Xenopus tropicalis: one gene and its partners. The protein of the gene in region 1 purifies or fractionates together with the protein of each later gene. This does not show direct contact. Links are inferred from orthologs where the notes say so. Each region holds a gene or a part of one and is shown on either strand. Other genes may lie near its edges.

Evidence for each region.
Region 2: the proteins of rab5a (region 1) and gdi2 purify together in Homo sapiens (affinity purification with mass spectrometry; 3 studies listed by BioGRID and IntAct, counting the BioPlex papers as one, with this or other methods). This does not show direct contact. The link is inferred for Xenopus tropicalis from reciprocal best matches to the Homo sapiens genes RAB5A and GDI2.
Region 3: the proteins of rab5a (region 1) and rabggta purify together in Homo sapiens (affinity purification with mass spectrometry; 3 studies listed by BioGRID and IntAct, counting the BioPlex papers as one, with this or other methods). This does not show direct contact. The link is inferred for Xenopus tropicalis from reciprocal best matches to the Homo sapiens genes RAB5A and RABGGTA.

What each region holds. Positions count from the first base shown.
Region 1 is NC_030682.2:45,567,009-45,571,401, reverse strand, and holds the start of rab5a (ras-related protein Rab-5A), read right to left. Parts: upstream 2,832-4,393; 5' UTR 2,724-2,831; intron 1-2,723. UniProt on the Homo sapiens protein: The small GTPases Rab are key regulators of intracellular membrane trafficking, from the formation of transport vesicles to their fusion with membranes.
Region 2 is NC_030679.2:84,466,021-84,469,673, reverse strand, and holds part of gdi2 (rab GDP dissociation inhibitor beta), read right to left. Parts: intron 1,433-3,653; coding exon 1,325-1,432; intron 817-1,324; coding exon 717-816; intron 152-716; coding exon 17-151; intron 1-16. UniProt on the Homo sapiens protein: GDP-dissociation inhibitor preventing the GDP to GTP exchange of most Rab proteins. By keeping these small GTPases in their inactive GDP-bound form regulates intracellular membrane trafficking.
Region 3 is NC_030677.2:139,152,782-139,156,434, forward strand, and holds part of rabggta (geranylgeranyl transferase type-2 subunit alpha), read left to right. Parts: intron 1-621; coding exon 622-809; intron 810-903; coding exon 904-1,101; intron 1,102-1,577; coding exon 1,578-1,661; intron 1,662-2,714; coding exon 2,715-2,797; intron 2,798-3,653. UniProt on the Homo sapiens protein: Catalyzes the transfer of a geranylgeranyl moiety from geranylgeranyl diphosphate to both cysteines of Rab proteins with the C-terminal sequence -XXCC, -XCXC and -CCXX, such as RAB1A, RAB3A, RAB5A and RAB7A.

The DNA of each region.
Region 1 (4,393 bases):
AAGGTAACTAAAGGCTAACATTTCTGAAAAGCTTCAGCGAGGTGGATACACTTCCTAAAGTTGCTTGCCACAAAGAGTCCTGTAAGGTGGGCATCAATTTTCAGGATTGTAAAAAATGTAAAGACATCCTTTATATAATTAATTTGAAGTTATCATTCTTTATTTAAATAGTGTGTAACTCTTATAATTTACATCAGTCCCATCACAGAAAAGCTAAAAATCTTATTTTGCTATTAAGCACACACTAAGTCAGTTTCACTAGAAGCTAGTAAAACTAAAACTAGTTAATCTACCACTGTGTTTCTAGATTGCTGGAGGAAACTGGATCACATGGAAAACCCCAGGTCATGATTCTCATGTTTAAAAGGCAAGGAAACCCTTAACTGATGCAGCTAGGACAGCTTTTCTAAGCAAATAAAGTAAATGCACCCCCAATCTCTACTAGCTTACCTTTTAGGGTGCTGCTAGGTCAGCCCTGCCCAATCAGTAAGCCATGAAATAAATCCATGTGCAAAAATGTAAGCAGCTCAAAGCACTGTTGCCTGCAGAGGGAAAAAACTTCTACACCTACTGTCCTGCCATAGAGGTCATGCATGACAAGAAAAGCAAAGAAACTGCCGAGACGCACTTCAGGGTGAATGCCTTCAATATTTCTAAGCAGAATGACAACAGTTTCAAGCAAGCACCCTTCCGCACATGCAGTGTCCAACAAGATCCTGGTGTATATGTGCTCATAGGAGACTGCTTGTAATGTCACTTGGAAGAGAAAGTGACCAGGCTTGCTGGCTCTCACATAGGAAAAGGAGCGGGCAGGACTGTGGGCTACTGTATTATCTGCATAGGGCTGATGTACAGCAGAATATGCAAGGACTTGTAGGATTTAATTGCTTTTATTTCAGTGTTACATAAACAATATATTTCGATTGTGTAATCAGACTTGAACACAAGAGGCTCCATTTAAATAATCATAAATTATTATGATTATCAATAATATCGATGAAGAGTGTCCATACATGGGCCCACAAGTGCAGTGCGACCCACAGGTTGAATGGCTACATAGCACAGGAGGGATGACACTTGGCATGACTAGCTTTCTATTGTTCAATCCACTTTCTCAACTGCCAATGCACCCTGAACTGGGAGATTTGACATTTCAAACCTGACCGATTCCTAAATCAACCAATATCCAAAGTACCTGATTGGCTGACACACAACTACCAAAAATCACATGAAACCTTGTTTTGTATGATATTATTGGTAAGTGTATGTGACCAGCATTACAGTTGAGATGTTTCTCTAAAGGCAACAAAAAAATGGCGCCTGAGGTGACACTGTAATTTTCCCAGGTGTAATAAGTTGAAATACCGACAGCCGTCTGGAGATCCCAAAATTTTGGTCAGCTAACAAAGGAGTAGCCGACAAATGCAGTCTGTCGCGGGGAATATCTAACAAAGCATTAATAGGAACAATATGTTGACTGCCAAATAAATATACGCATACTTAGTTTTCTTAGGATTCCCTTTAAGTTGAAGAGCAGGTAATGCATGACAATAACAAAATTCTTGGCAGACTACTGCAGAAACTAAAAGTAAATATACCTAAGAAGTGTACTGGCGCCAGCTATACCATAAGTATGAACGTTACAGCAAAACCTATGTGTAGGATTATCCTGTCCAACTGGAGGCCCATGGGCCACATGTGGCCCTCCGAGTGATTTTAAGGCTCCCAGCCTGTTCTAGGGTTTCAAAGAATTCAACTGCTACAGTGATTAGGGGTTTCTAAATTGTTTGGGGCTCTTTAATAAATTTAGGTTCAGAAGCCATAGTTTGTAAATGCAAAAGTGAACAATGCACACAAGAATCATCCCCAACAAGTTGTTCACAAGCAACACATTGCTAATCACATCCTGTTAAGTAGGTGCTAATTTTAAAACCTTGGTAGAAAGACAGAAAAGAGAGGCTTGGGCAAGCTGGCAGTGCACATGGGGCTACCAAGCAGCCAATCACACCCAGGATCCTTTTTCAATGTTGTGTGGCTCAAAGACAAAACCATAGTCTGTCTAGTGGTGCCTAAACCCCCCTCAAAGATCCCTCCATAGAGTGCAGATACATAAGTATACATGGCATGAACAGAAAACAAACACTAAATAGTACAATATACAGCTGATAAATGTCTAAATATGTCTACTATCAAAACAGTAGAAAGAAAAACAAAAATAAGAGTCTGTAAACCATTTTATCACCCAACAGGTAGTCTCTAAATAATGTAAAGGAAAGACAACTTTCTGACAGAAGCCATCTCAATGACTCCAAAGTGAAAGTGGGATGTTTATCTCCAGGACAAACCTTCCACTTCTTAGTCCTTCCCCCTGCGATGAGTTGGAAGGCCTTTCCTACACACCCAAGCTAAATCCCAGCACCTAATGTACAACAGCAAGGAGCTTGGGCCTGTAGTTGAACAACTGCCACAATTCCCAAAGGCTAGAAATACACGTAGGAAGCCGTAGTTCAGCTGACTTATTTCTTGACCAGCTGCGCTGATGGTTATACAGCCATGATCTGCTGCTGCCGAACCCAATTAAGAGTAGCTGGAGGAGCACTAGTTGTTAAGACCCTACTGCTGAATGTAGAATGTTTCTATACAGGGCAAGTACAAGTCCACCCCATGTGATTAGAATGATGATTCTTTGCTGCCCAATCTAAATCTCAGCTACTACTGCATACCGCCAAACAGGCCCGCTCTTCGCGGGACAGAGCCGATTTCCTCACACAGCCCGGGCTCCCGGATCGCTGCTTAAACGTCCCGCAACGCCGTTAACGTCCAGCTTCTTGGTTCCTGCCGGACAGCTAATCCCGACGTCACAATTCTCATCTCGCGAGAGTGTTGCGTCACACTACACGTATATAAGCGCAATGACGCATCACGTAGGCGGCTTTGGGGGACTGGCAAGTGTGGATGGGGTACTGTACCACCATTCATAAGCTGCTGCCAGGCTGTGGTGGGTACGGCAGAATGTGGGTCTCTGCGATTATTTGTAATGAGCTGCTCACAGCTTCTGCTTGTACTAGGCATGAACAGAATACACTTATCTTTCTAGGAGGTTCCCGGCCATGATTCCTCTACGTGCGTCTCAACGCCGGGTACCTGGGGGCATTTCTCACAATCTGACCAGAAAGGACAGTTTTTGTGCAAGCTAGGGCACGTTGAAACTATGTAACCTTTTTGGTATTTTGTATTTTTGAGAGTCCCATGGTATTTTCTTTTGTATATAAGCGCTAGATAGCAATTTTGGCATAAATCAATGGCTGATTTGGGGAAAAAATTGACCAAAAGGAATCTTCAGATTTTGGAATCATTTTCCTTTAGGGTTTTTTTTTTGCAATTTAGGGAGAAAATATGAGTATTTGCGAAAAATGTGAACTTTTTCTAAAGTTTAGGACTTTTCTTAATGACCACGATAATGTTAAAATGATACGACTTTTTCACATTCTGTGTAAATTTGCACAAAAACGTCGTATTTTTCGCAATGCCTACGAACATTTCGGAATTCATTCAAGCTTTGGTATGGTGACTATCTTTTGGCCGGGTTGGAGCTGCAGAGTGCCATTGAGCCCTATGGGAGACTTTCCTTGCGCCAGGTTGGAGCTGCAGAGTGCCATTGAGCCCTATGGGAGACTTTCCTTGGGCCGGGTTGGAGCTGCAGAGTGCCATTGAGCCCTATGGGAGACTTTCCTTGGGCCAGGTTGGAGCTGCAGAGTGCCATTGAGCCCTATGGGAGACTTTCCTTGGGCCAGGTTGGAGCTGCAGAGTGCCATTGAGCCCTATGGGAGACTTTCCTTGGGCCGGGTTGGAGCTACAGAGTGCCATTGAGCCCTATGGGAGACTTTCCTTGGGCCGGGTTGGAGCTGCAGAGTGCCATTGAGCCCTATGGGAGACTTTCCTTGGGCCAGATTGGAGCTGCAGAGTGCCATTGAGCCCTATGGGAGACTTTCCTTGGGCTGGGTTGGAGCTGCAGAGTGCCATTGAGCCCTATGGGAGACTTTCCTTGGGCCAGGTTGGAGCTGCAGAGTGCCATTGAGCCCTATGGGAGACTTTCCTTGGGCCAGGTTGGAGCTGCAGAGTGCCATTGAGCCCTATGGGAGACTTTCCTTGGGCCAGGTTGGAGCTGCAGAGTGCCATTGAGCCCTATGGGAGACTTTCCTTGGGCCGGGTTGGAGCTGCAGAGTGCCATTGAGCCCTATGGGAGACTTTCCTTGGGCCAGGTTGGAGCTGCAGAGTGCCATTGAGCCCTATGGGAGACTTTCCTTGGGCCAGGTTGGAGCTGCAGAGTGCCATTGAGCCCTATGGGAGACTATCCTTAGGCCGGGTTGGAGCTGCAGAGTTCCATTGAGCC
Region 2 (3,653 bases), on another chromosome or scaffold:
AGGAAGACAAACTTACTAGATGTAAGGGCTTCTGCTTCTGTTGAAGGAACTTTATAGATTTTTCCTCCTTTATAGACAAAGCTTCCCTCAATAACTTTAAAGTCCAGATAACGGGTGACTTCTGTGAAAAGCAACATCTTCACTAACTGGCCTGAAAAAGATGAATTAAAAAAAAATTGGTGTTAAGAAATAATCAGAACAATGAATTATCTGAAATCGGTAATTAAGCATGTCAATGCAAATTAGTAATTAAGCATACCTGTAGCGAGCGATCCCCTTTCATAAGACAGGGGTGGAAGATTGTGAGGGCTTGTCCACTTTCACAGGGTAAGTCAAATGCTATTGTATTATAATGGGTTGTGGTATATGTGATGAGGGGGGAACCATATTTCAGGTTAAAATATAAAACCAAAATAGTTACTACTGATGAAACTGAATTTAAGAGTTATGATTTTTGGTCCTGCTGCCTAGACCAGGGGTGGGGGAGAGTTTCTATTTAGGAGACATGAAATTTGGTGAATGCATCATTTGACTTTCACCCCTTACAGATAGGGATTATGATTTTCAAGCATATTTATAACATTGTACATTCTTGTAATTTCTATTTAGTTCTGCTGTGATTGTCCACCCAGTTAAGCAACTTATATACAGCACTACACATTAATATAGCATGTATATACACACACATCTGCACAGAGTACAGATTTAAGACATACCATTGGCCATTAGGAATTTGGGAATGAGGTCCACATTCCAGTCTCTTCCTCGCCCCATACACTCCGGAGGACTTCCAGGTATATTAAATCTTTTGTATAGCTAAAAGTAGATATGTAATTTTTTGTCAACTTGCAGTCCAAAGAAACATTCCTCAACAGAGAAATCAAATCAACCACTAGATTTGGCAAATGAAAGACATACTATCTGACATGTATTTTTTTTTAAGTTTTCGTACTGTGCGTATTTTTTGTGACTTTTTTATACTTTGCTACAAAAAGCATGACAATTTGTGCGACAAAATCGTATTTGTTGCGCCAAGTACGAAAGTTTCGGATTGATTCAAGCTTCAGTATACTGACTTTCCTTTGGCCAGGATGGCCAAAGTCAGAAAGGTTTTCCCGCCAATTATAACAGTTCGGATATGAAAATCTTGTGACTTTCGATCACCGATACGATATTATCATGACTAATATGATTTTTTCAGAAGCATTTTCATGATATTTGCAATCATAAATTATCGTCTCTAATCCGAATTTTACCTATTTCGGGATTCAAACTCATACTTGATGAATCAGCCCCTAACTGTCTTGTGCTGGCGGCTACTTACATCTTCCAAAGGTGTTATTGAAGCGCTCTCTCCTCCATAGTAAGAGTTACGATCCATGTGTAAGACCTTTTTGCCATTCACTGACATTATTCCTGAGAGAATGCATTCCTAAAAGGAAAACAAAAATCTATAACTATTTAAACAACATATACACAACTGTACTGTACACAAATAATGGTTGAATTCGAAGAGCTTGTGAATTAACCCATACAAAGCTAGTCTATTTTCTTCAAGTATGAACACCAAAGTGGCACACATTTTTTTCAACATATTCTCCTCCTTGACTTTTACTTAGGAAAAACATATGCCATGTCTTTCGTGAAAGACAAGTTATAGTGCTGGGCGGTATACCGGTAAAAACCGATCACCGGTTTTTTTTTTGAAACCGATATGAATTTTCTACATACCGGTGTGCTGAATACTTCCGGGTGCGCGCGTGACGTCAGCGCGCACGTGACGTCAGCGCGCACACTCTACAAAAGCGCCATCGCTAGGACGCATTCAGAGTCGGATACCAATGTGAGCTGTCGGGGGGTGCCTGGCCAGTAATTATATTTTATGTGAAGGGGATGGGGTTGTGTTTGGGGGGGGTGGGGTGGGGGGTTATATTTATGTGAAGGGGATGGGGGGGTGTTTGGGGTGGGGGTGGGTGGGTTATACTTATGTGAAGGGGATGGGGTTGTGTTTGGGGGGGGGGTGGGGGTGGGTGGGTTATACTTATGTGAAGGGGATGGGGTTGTGTTTGGGGGGGGGTGGGGTGGGGGGTTATATTTATGTGAAGGGGATGGGGGGGTGTTTGGGGTGGGGGGGTGCGTGCGGATGGGGGGTGTTTGGGGTGGGGGGGGTGCGTGCGGATGGGGGGGTGGGGGGGTTGCGTGCGGATGGGGAGGTGTTTGGGGTGGGGGGGGTGCGTGCGGATGGGGGGGTGGGGGGGTTGCGTGCGGATGGGGGGGGGGTGCGGGTGGCGGGTGTTTGGGGTGGTCACCTAATCATGCATGGGGAAAAAAAAATACCGTCAAATACCGTGATACCGATATATAATTTTGAAAAATACCGTGATATAAATTTTTGGTCATACCGCCCAGCACTAACAAGTTATATGGCTTCTAGACCCCCCCAAAAAAATTGTAAACACACACTTCCCACCTCTCCTGTAAATAGCTGACTCAGGCTAATGATTAAGGTAAATGAAAAAGTGCCTGATGGAACAAGTTTGGGTTGTCATTTAGTTTAATGGAATCTGCCTGTCACTAGAGGTGGCGGTGACACTATAAAAGCAGACAAATATGATCTATCAGAGTAGTATTATACTTGAACCAACAGCACATTATGCTGCCGAATTCTCAAAAAAAGATTTTGCTGGCATTTTTTATATCCATAGAAAGTAACATGACCAAGTGAATATGTATCAAAGTCTGTAGTGTGAATAAGGCCAAAGTCTGCAATCTAATAAAGCTAGAGTTCACTAGATGCAAAAGTATGAGAAACATGACACTGTATTATATAAGATGGATTTATTCAGCTGATGTGATTAAACTCCAACATTTTGAACACGGTTGCTGCAAAGAATCTGGCTGCGTAGTAATAGATCCATCCGATTACCACATGAAACAATCGTGAATCTGTGTTTTTTTTAGCCATTTGCAAGATCCAGCTATAGCATACAATTTATAACTCAATGAAATTTGACTGAAGTCAGTAGAATATATCCAGTCTACATATCAAGAGAAGATATAAAAACAAGACTGTACAGTGCGGTATCTTCTTGTAGTGCCACCGCGTATGCCATCCCACCGGCGATTTACATTTTCGCAGGTGGGATGGCAATCCGGGGAGATTAGTCGCCCGCGAACAGGGAGTTTTGTCGCGGGCGACTAATCTCCCCGTGTGCCAGAGCCCTTAAGCAATGGAAAGGTTTTATCTGCTATCTCTACATATTATTAATAAACTGAGAGCATATAGCTAATCAATACCAAAGGTACTACTTGGTGGAGAACAAGCAGTTTAGTAACCACTACCCTGACAGCAGTCCCATGTCTATATGTGCATACCTAATGACTCTAACCTGCCATGGATAACCAGCTATAGAAAGCAGGCCAAACACAAAGGTGTTACATGGCAAGGTCGCTAAGCAAGAGGATCTTCTTCAGATATCCCCACCTATGGGTGGGCGGTATCGGGCTAATTCGAATTAGACTGACTGGTATAGGCACTGTTGGTTCGGGGACCGCATCAACGAGCCAATGCGGTCCCCAATCCAATGGAAAAATCAAACCTGCCTGATCGAGATCTGGCCAATTTCAGGCCAGATGTAGGTCGGGCAGGCCCG
Region 3 (3,653 bases), on another chromosome or scaffold:
GAGAAAGTAAAAAGCCAGATATATACCACTAATGGATTTTCATGGCAAATCTCCATAGACATTACTGTGCAGCAGCATAATTTTCTATGGTGCTCACAAATACATGGGCCAGTGATCCCATGAGCAGTACAGCATTTATCTATAATCAAGTCTGTAGCTTAATGTAAATAATACTTTCAGATGTCAAAATTATCATTACATTAATTTTTTAAAGGAGAAGATACACCCTGGTTTTAAGAAGGAAGGCCTTTGCCTTTATTTTGCCTTCATTGTTCACTAAAGAATATGTGTGACTAAAGCTGGATTTACAGTGACCAATAAGGTCAGAAAGTTACTCTGATCTGTTTTAACTTGTGAGCTAGTGCTCAGTGTGTGGACTCTAGTAAGCATTTCCACTGTTTCAAGGAATATAATCTCTTCATTGGTCACGTGGTTACATTGACAGCCATATAGCATTTCTTAAGTAGGTCTGTACCTATTATATTGTACGTGTTTATGTTTTACTAATACACAATATTATTTTCACAGTGTCTCTGGGATGTGTTGAATATATTGGCTGCAGGTAATTGGGATAGTAACACAAAACTATTACAAAACAATTTGTTTTCTTTTCTACTTGAGGTCAGAAGAAGAGATGCAATCTCTTTGTTTGGGAGAGCTCACCTTCCTTGAGAACTGCCTTCGTGTAAGCCCAAAGTCATATGGGACCTGGTATCACCGATGCTGGATTATGAAGATCATTCCTAAACCAGATTGGGCACGGGAATTGACACTCTGTAACCGATTTCTTGAAATTGATGAGCGAAACTGTGAGTGGGATGAGCTTGGTTGGGACTATGGAATGTTACTGTGGATTAACGTGCTCTTGGTCTCTTATCCAACGTCTGTTTTTATATTATACAGTTCATTGTTGGGATTACCGGAGGATTGTTACACAGTCCTCATCTGTTCCACTCCCTGAAGAGCTTGAATTTACTACTTCTCTAATTGGCAAAAACTTCTCAAACTATTCTTCCTGGCATTACCGTAGCAAACTATTGCCACAGATCCATCCAGACCCACTTAGAATTGGTAGAGTTACAGAAGAGGCCCTGCTAAATGGTGAGAGAAGGGAGAAACTTTTGAAAGTCACAGTATTAAAGGGGTTAGTGGCAAATTTTTGACACTTCTTTTATTCTGCCCCAAGGACCTGATAAGAAGGGGATAGTAATTCTCTGTGCTAATCAGTAGCCTGCGTCACTAAATAGCACTTTAAGAAGTGTGACTGCTGCACATCCCTATCAAGAAAAATGAGCAACAACCCAACTTTATTATTTTATTTTTTTTTTTTTGGGTAAAAATTGCCTACAGAACATTGGGGGTAATAGCATAGCCGAAATTCAGAATCATGTGATAATAAATTAGAAATTTATTTTTAAATTGTATTCTTGTACACTATGGATATTGTTGAGGATTGAGAGTGTCAGAGGGAGAGAGCAGTAGGAAATATTTGTTGGAAAATAAACTGTTACAAATTAGATTTTCAGTAAGCATTGTTATTCACTACTAATATTTCACATGTCATAATTTAATTACAGAGCTAGAACTTGTACAGAATGCATTCTTTACTGACCCAAATGACCAGAGTGCTTGGTTTTATCATCGCTGGCTTCTTGGACGAGGTAAGAAAATTAAGCAGTGAAATAAAGGGCAACAAGTTTATGGGTAGAGCAACTGATACCCTGTGGTTAGTGTACAATTTTTGCTTAGCACACTGTAGCTTGAAATAGCATAATATTCTTAAAGACTCCTCTATATGCTTTGTTTTATATTCTGTTTGCATCTGTCTAGAAGAAATTTTAGGAGTGGAATATACAATATGTTCCCTCTACTGACTCATTTTATAGAAATCACATACATTCTTGTACATCCCATAACCCTCCTATTGTGTTTTAAATAATTTGACTAAAACAGCAGGGAGCATGTTGTAGTTTATGTGCCCAAGTGTTTATGAAGGTGGCAGAAGTGCATCAAACACATTGAGAGTATTAAAACAATTCTCTCATATTAACATTAGCAGAAACAACCCTCTGCACTGTTTTCAGAGAGTGTGTATGTCAGCACATGTTATTCTCCTTTAGTCACATTCAGAATATATATGTGCGTAAATAAGGGGATAATCTGGTAACTCTGCATATCAACCAAAATATAAGCAACACTTCAGTACAATAAAACATTTTCCTATGCAGAATTAGCCACACCCATGCATTTTATGGATCTTTATCTCATCCCTTACAGGGACAGCAAAATACAATATATGTATGTGTATTATATGCATCTGAAAATAAAATATTTATTGGGAACAACAGTCCTTTTTTTTTATGTAACAATGTTTTCAGCTTCTGTTATCTGCCATGTAGACTAGGCCTTACAAGAACTTGTAGGGTCCTCTATTGTTAAAATGATCTTATTTATGTAATTGCTTTATTGTGCTCATTTGTGGTTGCTTCATTGCAACAGGTTGAAGGGGCACATTGGAGCTTGTTATAGGAGTGGTACCAAGCCACGCTCAATTATGCATACATTTTATTGTTTTGCTCTTTCCTTTGTGTTTGTAAATAATCATTTATATTCAAAGGTAAATGGAACCTTTTTATAATTTGTTGTTATCATTCCTTTAAGGCGCAAAACGTGCAAATCTGGTTTGATGAATTTCCCATTTGCTTTCTATGCAGCGGATCACCCAGTTTCCATTCGATGTGTTATGGTCAGTCTGGATGAACCGTGTGTGTCAGTAACATTCTCTCACCCAGTCGAAGTGAGTTTGCGTAGTGTAATTGACATTATAAATCTTCAATGTTTTCTGAACTGGATAAAAAAGAGGCTTGTTTCTAGATCCTATGGTCATTTTAAAGGAATAGTAACATCAAAATTTGAAAGTTTTAAATTAATTAAAATATAATGTACTGTTGCACTACACTGGTAAAACTGGTGTGTTTGCTACAGAAATGCTACTATAGTTTATATAAAAAAGTTGCTGTGTAGCCATGGGTGCAGCCATTCAAGCTGGAAAAAAGGAGAAAAGGCACAGGTTACATAGCAGATAAACCCCCATTATATGTTACAGAGTTTATCTGTTATCTGCTAAGTCACCTGAGCCTTTTCACCTTTAGGGCCAAGACACACGGAGCGATTAGTCGCCACAACTTTTAATTAACTTTTTCCGCTCATATAGAACAATTGCGTTGCCGCGGCAAATCGAGCGCGCAATAATCGCCCCTTGTGTCTTCACCCTTAGATAGCTGCCCCCGTAGATACACAGGAGCTATAGTTTGTATAAACTATAGAAGTCTTTCTGAGGCAAACACACCAGTTGTTCCAGTGCTGGGCAACAGTAAATTATAATGTTATTTCTTTTATACATTTTAATTTTTTGGTGTTACTGTTCCTTTAAATTAAGAATGCACCGAACCCAGTTTTGGATGGATTCGGCCGAACCACCGAATCCATTGTAAGGGATTCCGCTGAATACCAAACTGAATCCTAATTAGCATATGCTGATTAGGATTTGGAAGGATTAAATGGCGAAAAATTTCTTTTAACCCTTCCAAATCCTAATTAGCATATGCTAATTACAGTTCGGTTCAGCCAGGAAAGTGAATTCGTCTGAATCC